Linked DNA regions of Sus scrofa. The protein of the gene in region 2 interacts with the protein of the main gene of each other region in a pairwise test. Links are inferred from orthologs where the notes say so. Each region holds a gene or a part of one and is shown on either strand. Other genes may lie near its edges.

Region 1 (3,650 bases), on a different chromosome or scaffold from region 2:
AGAAACAACTGGTGATATACCTGTAAAAATATGAAGTATTAGATCTAGATTTCTTTTTCTATTTTTAATTTTTTTGGCTGTGCTCATAGCATGTGGAAGTTCCCAGGCCAGGGATCAAACTGGTGTCATAGTAGCAACCCAAGCTGCTGCAGTGACAGCACTGGATCCTCAATTCACTGTACTACAGGACAACTCCTAGATTTATTTCTAATCTTTAAGATTTTTTTTAGGATGGGATGGTGGAAATGAAAAATAACCTCTATCCAAAATAACAAAACTTTCAATATATTATAGATTTTGACATTTGTCAAATTATGCACTTAAATATCACAACACTAAGAAATTAAAGTGTTGACCAAAAAAGTAATATGTACTGGGCATCAGATTAGACATATTCCTTCCTATTTCTACAGATATACCTAAAGACTTTTTAAAGCTCTAACCTTTACTTTCAGCTTTTGGGAAGCTAGGTGATGTCTCATTGGACTTCATATTTTCTTTATTTCCTGCAGGAGAGTTCTGCCTCTGATCTTGAAGCCTGGAATCTTTAGCTAGAAAACAGTATTTTATATAAAAAGGTTAATAGAAGCTATAGAAGTAAAATTGGAAAATACTCAACCATTTGATCCTGTGTTTTTGGAAAAGAATATTTCCACTTAAACAGAGACTTTCCTACTTCGCAGACATATGAAATATATTTTTTCTTTTTTTTTGCTGCTCCTATGGTATATGGAAGTTCCTGGGCCAGGGAAGAAACCTGAGCCACATCACCGAATCCTTAAGTGCTAGGCCACCAGGAAATTCCACTAATAAATTTTACTTATATTGTTATTTACTACCCAGGAATGTAAACTCTCTTAAACTTTCAGAATAACATATATGAAATTAGCAGGTTTTATTTTTATTGTTCTTTTCAGGCTACACTTGCTACATATGGGAAGTTCCCAGGCCAGGGGTTGACTTGGAGCTGCAGCTGGCAGCCAACGCCACAGCCACAGCAACACCAGATCCTTAACCCACTGAGAAAGGCCAGAGATCGAACTTGTGTCCTCATGGATACCAGTTGTGTTCATTACTGCTGAGCCATGATGAGAACTCCTGAAATTAGCAGTATTACTTAAACAACTAACTTTATTTACATAAAATTTTTAATATGCCATCAAATACTTACCTATGGATAAAACAACATAACCATTTTTCACACAATGTTAAATGTCTAAAATTCAATTTCACCAATGACATCATGGATCTAGAAGCCCTTTCTTACATACCCTCAATGGATGGGGTAACAGCTCTGTTGGATGCAGGACTGGCAGGCGTAGGAGATGCAGCTGGTAAAGGCATAGGGACAGCATCAGTTGGAATAACACCAGCTTGGGGAGAAGCAAGAACTGGCCCACTAGGAGTATTTCCAATACTATTCTGTCTGGGAGACCTGGGTCTGTGAGTTTTAGGGGATAATCTTGGAACTACAAGAAAGAGAAAAGTTACCCATTATATCCTCAGCTAAAATGTCGCTTCATCAAAAAGGCTTTTCTGAAAGATCTAGGTAACAGTTCTATCTGACCTCCCAATTACTCATCTCATCACCTGTTTTCTTTTCCAAAGTCTCAGGAATAATGGTGACGACAAAGTATAAATATCTGAAGAATGAAAACAATTACTAATAACCATGTACAACAGTCATTTTCCCTCCTAACTAAATATATGAATTCTAAAAGGCAGTGTTTTAAATGAAGTTAAAAACTGGATTTCTAAGGAAGGACAAGTGCTACTTCTTAGGATAAAGATAACAACATTCTCTACTAAAAGGTGAGACTGTTTCTTTAAAATACATGTGTGGAGGAGGGGAAGAGAATCCCTAAGACGTAGGCTTATTTGTTTCTCCTTCAAATAATAAACACATTTTAGCAGTTTATTTACCACAGCAAAATCCACTCTTCAGTAACTAAGGAAACTGGAAACTCAAATTAGGGCAAAGGGGAAGATAATCCAAGGAAGAGTTCATATTCCACATAACTTCAAAATGAGTATCTAATAGGTTTCGTATTTTATATAAACCTATTCAGATTCAAAGATTTAGAGGAAATAGTTCAATTTGCTTCACTTTAGTGATTCTTCACCCTAAGTAACAAGGGTCATGGAAGGAAACTATTATTCAACAACTGTCACTTTTCTGATTAGTATAAAGAGCAAACCTGTAATACTGCTGGGTGTATCTATTAACAACTATGATTTTACTCTTTCACCTCTTTCTTTTTTTTTGGTGGTGGTGGTGGGGTGGCCCACAGCATATGGAAGCTCCCTGGGCAGAGATCAAACCTGTACCACAGCAATGACCCGAGCCGCTGCAGTGACAACACTGGATCCATAACCTGCTACACCACAAGGGAACTCCCTACTCTTTCACTTCTATAATCATGTTGTTACTTTCAAAATTCATTTCCATATCATCTGAATACTGTCAAATAATTACTGATACACAGAAGAAATTAAGATTTTAGAAACTATTTTTTGTCAACTGAATAATTTCCTTGTAACTGAAGACCAAATTAGAAAAATAGAAAGTTCAAAGGAATTTACCATAAAATTACACTTACATGAAAGTAAGAAATGTATATCAACTAAAGACATTTAATGGAGTTGGGTATATTTTTCTTTGTTTCAGTTTAAAGATTTTTCTTTTAAAAGTTCCATGCACTGATTAAGATAGATTATGTCACTGCATGCTCCAACTCTAGTTATCATAGAAACAAAACATTAAGTAGCAAAAGCAATCTTAACCTAATTGTAAGGTCCTATCAAAGTATACACTTTTTACATTTTTATAGCTGCTGTCAGCACATTCTTCAGGCTGGTCACAGATAAAACTTGGGCCCTTGTGTTTGTTAATCCTTAAAAAGGATATATAGGGAGTTCCCGTCATGGCACAGTAGTTAACGAATCCGACTAGGAACCATGAGGTTGCCAGTTTGGTCCCTGCCCTTGCTCAGTGGGTTAACGATCCGGTGTTGCCGTGAGCTGTGGTGTAGGTTGCAGACTCGGCTTGGATCCCGCACTTCGGCCCAGAATAGTGTCAATAGGGAGTTTCCATAGTGGCTCAGTGGTTAACAAACCAGACTAGTATCCATGAGTACATGGGTCCAATCCCTCGCCTTGCTCAGTGGGCTTGGGGATCTGACATTGCCATGAGCTGTGGCTGAGTCGAAGATGCGGCTTGCATCATGCGTTGCTATGGCTGTGGCGAAGGCCATCAGCTACAGCTCCAATTCAACCCCTAGCCTGGGAACTTCCATATGCCATGGGTTTGGCACTAAGAAGACAGAAAAAAAAAAAAAAAACCTCAATAAAAATGTTTCAAATGAATGAATGGGGGAAAAAAAAAGAAACACATAGCATTGCAAGCCTGTAAGCCCAAAATAAATGTGGAATCAATGAACCAAGTTTCTAAGAAGACAGGAAATGTGATCCCCTCCAAAAATTGTTATGCACTGTATTTGCCTCCCATTTGAGTGGCCCTTTATAAAACCATAATAAAATATATTCATATTTATGAACCCCATATGAATTTCATCACAAGACCCTAAAGTAGACTAGGCAAAAACTACTTTACTCACTGAGAAAACTGAAATTCAAAATGATCACTTGAT
Region 2 (4,289 bases):
ATCTAATTTAGCATATCCACTCTCAAAAGGAAGTAATTCTAAGTCTAAAGTATTCTCTGCAGATAAGATCAAGTTCATGAACTGTATCAGGGGAGAGGTGGTTTAAAAAGTAGGAAATGGCTACTTTCCCTAACATCTCTGATACAGGCAAACATTAGCACTGGCTTTACACGCCCTAGAAAATGCCCACACATCCACAGGAAAAATAACATTTGCCTTGGATTTTCTAAGATTGTGCTACATTAAGTTATGGATAAGAGATGGTGCGTGAATTCACCTTTAAACATGAAAGGCCTTTCGATTTAAAAAAAAAAAAAAAAAGGAAGATGACAGTGATTCTATATCTGGATGCTGATAAATACTAATCTTATCAACAGAAGACCTCCTCTGAGGCTCTCAGACGTTCTTTCATATTACAATTCAAGTTTTTGTTCTCAACTTCAGAGCTGCATTTAACTTCAGGATTTAGCTAAAATGGAGCTGTTTTTTGTTAAGGTAGCAAAGCTAGGAATTCCAGCTTCTATATACAAACTCACCTATCCTTACATCAATCCTAAGAAAATGGCTATTACCCTCATTCTAGAAAGGACAGATTCACAAGTTAAATAACTTGCTCAAGGTCATGGACACCAGAGGTGAGTCAATCCTTAGCCTTTCCCATTCCAAAGCCAAGGTTCCTAATTGCCTTTCAGGGCACCATGCTGTGCAAAGGAAGTCTTCAGAACCAAAGTGAGAAAAGGATAAGGTGTTGGTCAATTCACTGCTGGAGGGTGCTTTATACTAGTGACGAATACCAGAAATAAAAAAGGCTAGTAACATCAAAGAAGCCCTGCCTGAAATTTTACAGGTCGCATATACGCTGGCTGCTTCTGTAAACTTGAAGGAATCTGAAGTATAAAGTTATTAGAGGCCTTCCAAATTACACCAAAATCGCCCTTATATTTACAAATATTTCTGGTAGAGAGGTCTCAGATCCAACGTGAAAAGCAAAAATACACTAATGAGTATTTTTACCAAAACGATCTTATTTTTCTCCATTGCCCGAGCTGACAAATATAACTGATTCTATAAAGGTAAGTCTGTGGTGATAGAGATGTCATGTGGGCACACAGTGGATGAACTTCAGGCTGCGTCTGTCATCCTAACATAACCAAAATTCTGTAAAACATAACCCTCACCTTTTCTGGAGGGGGTTTATAATAGGACTGTTACTATGGTTGTCTGGGGGGAAAAAAATCTCACTACTTCTGAGATATTATGAGAAAAACTGGCAGTAATTATGGCAAATCTACGAAAAAAAAATATTTAAGGCCAAATTATGAGAAATATTTCAAGAAATTAACTAAGTCCCTAGCTAAAAATGTCTTAAATTGGAATTGTTTCCGAATGGTAAAAAAAAAAAAAAAAAAGAAAGAAAGAAAAAAATAGTAACTATACTCATTATATAAGAAATAGGTCACATTATAAGCATTAACTTACTTTCTCTATGTAAAATTCTTCAACCGAGTCCAATGAGATTCAAATTATTAGCATCCGAATTAAATAAGTATTATTGTAATCACAGATTATTAACCCCATAAAAGTGGGCACATCTAATATGTAAAAGGCTCACTAAAAATAATACTTTGAAACACATAATGATTTGGTAATGTTAAGGTTGCAAAACCCATGGGAAATGTTTAAAAACGCGCAGGCTGCTGGTCAAGCCTTGGCCTCAAAGGAGTTTCAAGACCAACTTCTCCAAGGAAAAGTTAATGCATGAGCTTCCCAAAAGGAAGCCCCATTCCTCGGAAGCCTGCGATCGCCGCGGAAGGAGGGATTCAGACACCACGGGGGAAGAGCGCAGGCGGCAGACATCTCTGCAGCCACCCCCAGTGCGGGCCACCGCTCGTGCCTGCACATCCCGGGATAGCTAGGCGCACCGACACCGCAAGGTCACCAGGGAAGAGGCGACTTTACATAATCTACCGCCGCGCCGCCACCAGAGCGCCTGGTGTACTGAGGCCCCCTCCCTGCTGCGCCCGCGCCGGGAGATGCGGGGGCGGTGCTCGGGGCGTCTAGGCGGGACACCGAGGACCCGCGGATGCCTGCAGCGCCGCCCTGAGCCGGGGGATGGGGGACGAAGTGTGGGCTCCCAGTCCCGGGATGCCCGGGCCGCAGCGGCGGGCCGTGAGAGGCGCGGCCAGGGCGGGTTCGGCGTAGGCCGGGGTCCGCACGCTCCAGACCAGCAGCTGGTGCCCAGCGCGCCCCTCACGGCTCTTCCCGGGACCGCCCCGCGGCGCACCTGTCACGCGCCTTACCTGAGTGGCTTTGTGGAATTGCTTCTTGAGCCCGGCCACCGACATGGTTTGGGAGGACGAGCAGCCGGCTGCAGTGGGGACAGCGCGCGGCAGCAGAGCGTGGCGGGAAGGCCGAGCTGAGCGGCACGCTGGCCGGGCCGCCTCTCGTCGTGCCGCCGCTGAGGCTGTGGGCGCGGGGGCGAGGAGCAGCGCGGGACGAGGGCTCGTGCGGAGAGACACCCTGACGTCAGGGGCGGGTGCTGCGGCCTCTTAAAGGAGACGCGGGAAGCCCCGCCCCGGGCGCGGGCTTGGTGCGGCAGGTGCTGCGGCAAGCGCTACCTGGGCGCCCGCGCCAGCCCCTGGCACCTGGCTCCGCCGCACCGGCCGGCTACCTGCCCTAAGGACCAAAGCCGGTTTCCCGCCGCAGGGGTGTCCTCGCGCTCCCGCGAACTGCCCACCGGTGGCTGCAGATTGGCAGCCGAGGCACCGGCAGAACTCCGGTGACTTGTTGGGCTTCCAGGTAGCCACAAGGGCGCTGCCTGAAGCCAGCCCGCCTGCCCTTTGAGCCTGGCCTCATTGCAGCGTGGAAAAGAGGAGTGGCGTTCTCTCTAGGGTAATGAATAAGTCATTGCTCCTTGCTTGCTTGGTCACAGAAAACATTTCTCTGTCCTGGTTTTACTATCCCTTAAGCCGAGATAACGTTAGGGAAAGCCACCAATGCTGGGTTATTGTTTTGTTTTTTCTCGATCTGATACAATTTAACGACTTAAAAACATGAAAAAAAAATGCTTAAACCTTGAAGCTGGTCCAGTAAATAGAATTTATTACTGCAGTTATAGCATATAATCCTGTTTACAGATATTAAAAAGCCCAAATATGAACTTGGTATTAATTTGACAGTGGATTTAGGATTTTCAATCCAAAATAAGCATTAGATAATGTGAAAAGCATGACGCAAAACTATATAAATACTACATATGTAAAAAAGTATATGAATCTAGGCTAGAAAAAAACTGATGTAACTAGATGAATTTGTAGCAGTGCAGTGCTGGACAGCTTCTGTATTCTGGTAATTAGAGTTTACTCCCCGTTTTCTGAGACTCAGAAGCATATAGAGTAGAATTTGAATTCTGACCCCATGTTGGGACCATAAAGTATAAGGAGGAGTCACCAGAGTGACAGAAGCCAGATGAGAGACACAGCCGCGAATGAATAAGGAAACAGCATGGCAGAATGGGAGTTCTAGGAGTACCTTGCACTGCCCCCACTACTCCTGCTGCCTGGGAGGAACCACAGACCCCACACCCACCCTTCCAGCCAGGCTGCTTGGGCACAGGGTGAATATCTGATACAAGAGGATCCTGTCCATCCCACTGGCTGGTCTACCAATACTAGTCTTTCTTGATAACATGAATTGTACTCATAATGCCAGAATCAAGCAGATAGTGGTGGATCACAGAGCATTAAGAGCACAAGGACTCCTGACCCAGCCTGAAAAGGGAAGCAGACAAAAGGAGAAAATCTGCTGTGCGGTAGTTATTACAGATGTTCATGTACCTTCCAGATTCATGGTAGAATCTCACTCCCCCCACCCCAGCACTGTAATCAATTAAGTAGGCCACTGTGAGAAGTTTTAACTAGTGAGTCAGGAAGGAAACTGACTGTCACCTCTTGGCAGAGGATTTAACTGTTCATATGAGAGGCTCTCCCCTCTCAAACAGTATTTTAGGTATTTGTAGTCTGTCACCCAGAATCCACAGTGAAGACAAAGCAGGGCAAAGCCCCCAGCTGATTTCAACTTCATTCAGCATGAGTGGGAAATAAACCTGAGTAATTTCAATACCCCGAATCTAGGGTTGTTACTGTGGCAAACTAGTCTCTCCTGATTAGTGTACAAAAGAGAAAATGTTTTCCCATTCCTCAGAAGATGAAGGGAGATTTTACATTTCCTGCCATGGCCCATGTGTTTTTCATTTTTTGTCATTAGATGTCCACGAAGTGGCCTGTTTC
Region 3 (3,650 bases), on a different chromosome or scaffold from region 2:
CCACATTTTGCTAAGGAGGAAACTGAGCTTAGAGGTTAAGCCACTTGCTAATGGTCACAGCCAGTATGGGGCACAGCTCAGAGTGCAGGTGAGGCCTGCTCAGCTCCTGAGCCAGAGCTGGTGACCGTTACACCACACAGCCTGAGACAAGCAAGGCTGCAAGGGACATCTGCAAACTTGGAGGCGTGAAGGAAGCCTTGACCACTGATCCTATATGGAAAGCTGATTTGTTCCAGTTCCTCCCTGAGGGTCTCTCAAGATGACAGCACCTTTCCCCCACCCCACCCATGCACAGCCCTGCACCGGCAGCCCATCTCTTTCTTAGAATCAAATTTCTGGACATATGGGCACATCTACACAGAGGGACAGAACTGCAGCATCGAGCTGCCGGAGTAGCCACTGAATCCCATCCAGCCAAAGGCAGGAATCCATACCCAAACCCTGGGGTTTCCTACTCCACTCTTAGATACCTGGGGTGCATTTTTCTTATGGCCACACCCACGGCATATGGAGGTTCCCAGGCTAGGGGTGAAAGTGGAGCTTCAGCTGCTGGCCTACACCACAGGCACGACAACACCAGATCTGAGCCACGTCTGTGACCTACACCATAGCTCATGGCAATGCCAGATCCTTAACCCACTGAGTGAGGCCAGGGCTCGAACCCGCATCCTCATGGATACTAGTCAGGTTCTTAACCCACTGAGCCACAACAGGAACTCCATCCCTAGTTGGGATCCTTCAACCTGCTGTGCCGGGCTGGGGATTGAACCCATGCCTCCACAGAGGCCTGAGCCGCTGCAGTCAGATTCCTAACTCAGTGGGTCATGGCAGGAACTCCCTGGTGTGCATTTTTAAGAGAGAACACAGCCCTACCCATTGGCGTTGGTTGGCTTTGGGAAGCCATTTTTCTTTGCCTTCCTTAAAATATTTACTAGCACAATTCGTGCTTTCCCACACTGTTTTCTTCTTCCAGGCTAAATTCTGCCCAGATCTTTGGGCAGGTCCTCATGGAATGTGATTTCCAGGCTCATTTTCTTTGCCTGTATTCTTTCAAACATCCTCTCGCCCAGCGCCATCTGCCCCAGCCCGCTGGGGGATGAGGAACCTTTGATGGGTATGATGCTCAGTGTCTGTCCTGGCGCAGACCATTCATTTTTGTCATCAGGGAGGGGCCGCTCTGCTGAGCCACCGAGAGCATCAGACAGATGGGGGCATGGGATGTGATACAGGTCAAAGGACAACCTGCAGCTGTATTTGTTGGAACTTGTGGGAACTCCGCTAAGGGTCTAGGAGAATTGGGTCAGGGCAGTCAATAAACCTTAGCACGTGATGGGCCAGTGCTAAAAGGCACATGTTCAGAGGATAACCTGGGTGACTAAAAACAGCGGGACACTACTGGCCAGGGGAGTGGCAGCACTGCAATTGCTGCTGCCTTGTCTGGGTCGACATTCCAGGCGCTCAGCATCATTTCTAGTTTGCTTCTCTTTCGGGACACATAGCGGGATTGTATGTATTTTTGTCCCTGCTTCCAAAGTGAATTAAATAAGAGCTGGGGTGTGACTGTCCATGCTTCTTTCCCTACCGTGACAAACCCTAAGGCCTCGGATTGACACCATGGTACCATAAGATGGTGGGGTCTCGGTCAGCCTGGGTCCCTGAGTGACTCCATGGGGAAGAAACGCCCTGACAACTCTCTCCGGATAGAGCATGAGAAGGAGACTGTGATTGTTGCTATAGCTGTTAAGAGCAGTGACATTTTCTTATTGTACCTTTGGTTTATCAATTTCAGAGTTTGCCACCTAAGCATGAAGGAATTCACCAGCCAGAATACCAGGACTCTTTGCTATATACCAAAAAAAGTGAAAAGAGGCTTGAGGATGATGATAAAATGACATCAGTGCCATCATACTTTGAGTCAGTTGTGCATTCTGGAAAAAATCCTGATGCACAGAAAAACCTCCTGTGATTCTAAGCCACTGACATTTCAGGACTGCTTGTTACTGCACCGTAACCTAGCCTACCCTGACCAATACACCTGCTCAGTGTCATTTGTGCTCCAATCTTATTTTCAGTATTTGAAAGTATGTTGCGACCAGAAAAATCTCCAGCACCCTGGTTTACTTTAAGTGTCATACTTACAACGTGCGTGAGAATTGGAGATGTGGTCTGGTTAGCTGAGAAGACAAGTCTGAGGCAGAGTTAAGTTTCTAAACACTGTACGTGTGCACCTCCCCACCCCCATGACGCCAGACACACAGAGTGGGAGGGAGAAAGAAGGGAGGAAGGAGACGTGGAGAGAAGGCTTTATGGGAATAGCTCAGACACCACGGCCAAGTGTACTTACCAGAACACTGAAGTCCACTGCCTTTATATCCCTGCTTGCACTTACACTTGAAGGATCCTAGGATATTGAGGCAAGTGGCATGGAGGCTGCACGTGTGGGTATTCGCAGCGCATTCATTGACATCTAAAAATGTGAACAGTCCCGTGAACACAGTGCCTTGTGGTAAGAGCACTTGCTGAAAGACTACCCCTTGAACTTGAGCAGCCCAGGGCCAACCACTCCACATGGCCAGCAAACCCTGTGTGGCCTGGGAACTGAGAGGCACTGAAGACTCCCGGTGCCTTGGCCCAGAGTCCTGGCTTTGCCTGCCACCCAGGATGTAGGGGCCAGGTACCTCTTGCCTCCCCCACAGCGACCTCATCTCCTGCTTATCAATATGACTGACCTCTCATAAGATGTTCAGCTTTTATGTCTTAAACGTTTTCACTGGTCTAACTAAGAACTCAATAATAATATCAGAAATTAAACTCTATGCATGGAAGGGCTGGGAACTCCTAAGCAATAAGGAACAAGATGGGCTTGGAACCACTGACGTCAGCTGAAAAAGTGGAGCATTTTTTTCCTAGACTGCCAGGAGCAGGGTCAGGCTGGTCTGAGCTCGCCTGCTGGCTTTACACTAGGGAAGTTTGCCAGATTCCACCCAGACAAGAGCTTTCCTGGCCTTCATTGGCACCCCACTTTCTGTCTATACTTATCACAGGCACACAAAGCAGACTATTATTTTTTTATAGATGATTTACAATGTTCTGCCAATTTCTGCTGTACAGCAAAGTGACCCAGCTATACATATATACACATTCTTTTTCTCACATTATCCTGCATCATGTTCCAAGTGACTGGATATAGTTCCCTGTACTATACATTGCTTATCCATTCCAAATGCAATAGTTTGCATCTACTAACCCCAGACTCCTAGGCCCTCCCCAACCCCACCGCCCCCACCTGCAAATGCAAGTCTGTCTTCCACGTCCGTGATCTGTTTCTGTATTGTTTTTGACTGAGCCACAGGGGGACTCAAGTGCTCATCTTAATCACTTTGCAAATTGCCAAGATTTGTTTCCTCTGGAAGCTCTCCACATGGATTCTCACCCTGTCCTGTGGGTCCCTCCCTTTAGGTGTCGGGAAACGGGCTCCTACTCAGTGACATGGCCTGGCTGGGTGACAGAGCTGGAGGGGTCTGCAGCAGCGCCTACGCTCCCAGCTCACGAGAAATGTGGATTTTATGAGCTGGTCTCAGATGGCCTTTGTGTTTGAGGGAAGATGTAAGATGGTTCAAAACCCAGGAACCAAGTGCTGTCCCAGCATG

The links.
Region 1: the proteins of SH3GL2 (region 2) and ATXN2 interact in binary tests that used the Homo sapiens proteins (3 or more experiments, as listed by UniProt). The link is inferred for Sus scrofa from reciprocal best matches to the Homo sapiens genes SH3GL2 and ATXN2.
Region 3: the proteins of SH3GL2 (region 2) and EGFL6 interact in a two-hybrid assay, tested with the Homo sapiens proteins (2 studies listed by BioGRID and IntAct). The link is inferred for Sus scrofa from reciprocal best matches to the Homo sapiens genes SH3GL2 and EGFL6.

The regions. Positions count from the first base shown.
Region 1 is NC_010456.5:32,706,039-32,709,688, forward strand, and holds part of ATXN2 (ataxin-2), read right to left. Parts: intron 1,470-3,650; coding exon 1,272-1,469; intron 552-1,271; coding exon 444-551; intron 21-443; coding exon 1-20. UniProt on the Homo sapiens protein: Involved in EGFR trafficking, acting as negative regulator of endocytic EGFR internalization at the plasma membrane.
Region 2 is NC_010443.5:205,282,517-205,286,805, forward strand, and holds the start of SH3GL2 (endophilin-A1), read right to left. Parts: upstream 2,844-4,289; 5' UTR 2,346-2,843; coding exon 2,301-2,345; intron 1-2,300. UniProt on the Homo sapiens protein: Implicated in synaptic vesicle endocytosis. May recruit other proteins to membranes with high curvature. Required for BDNF-dependent dendrite outgrowth.
Region 3 is NC_010461.5:10,259,582-10,263,231, reverse strand, and holds part of EGFL6 (epidermal growth factor-like protein 6), read right to left. Parts: intron 2,468-3,650; coding exon 2,345-2,467; intron 1-2,344.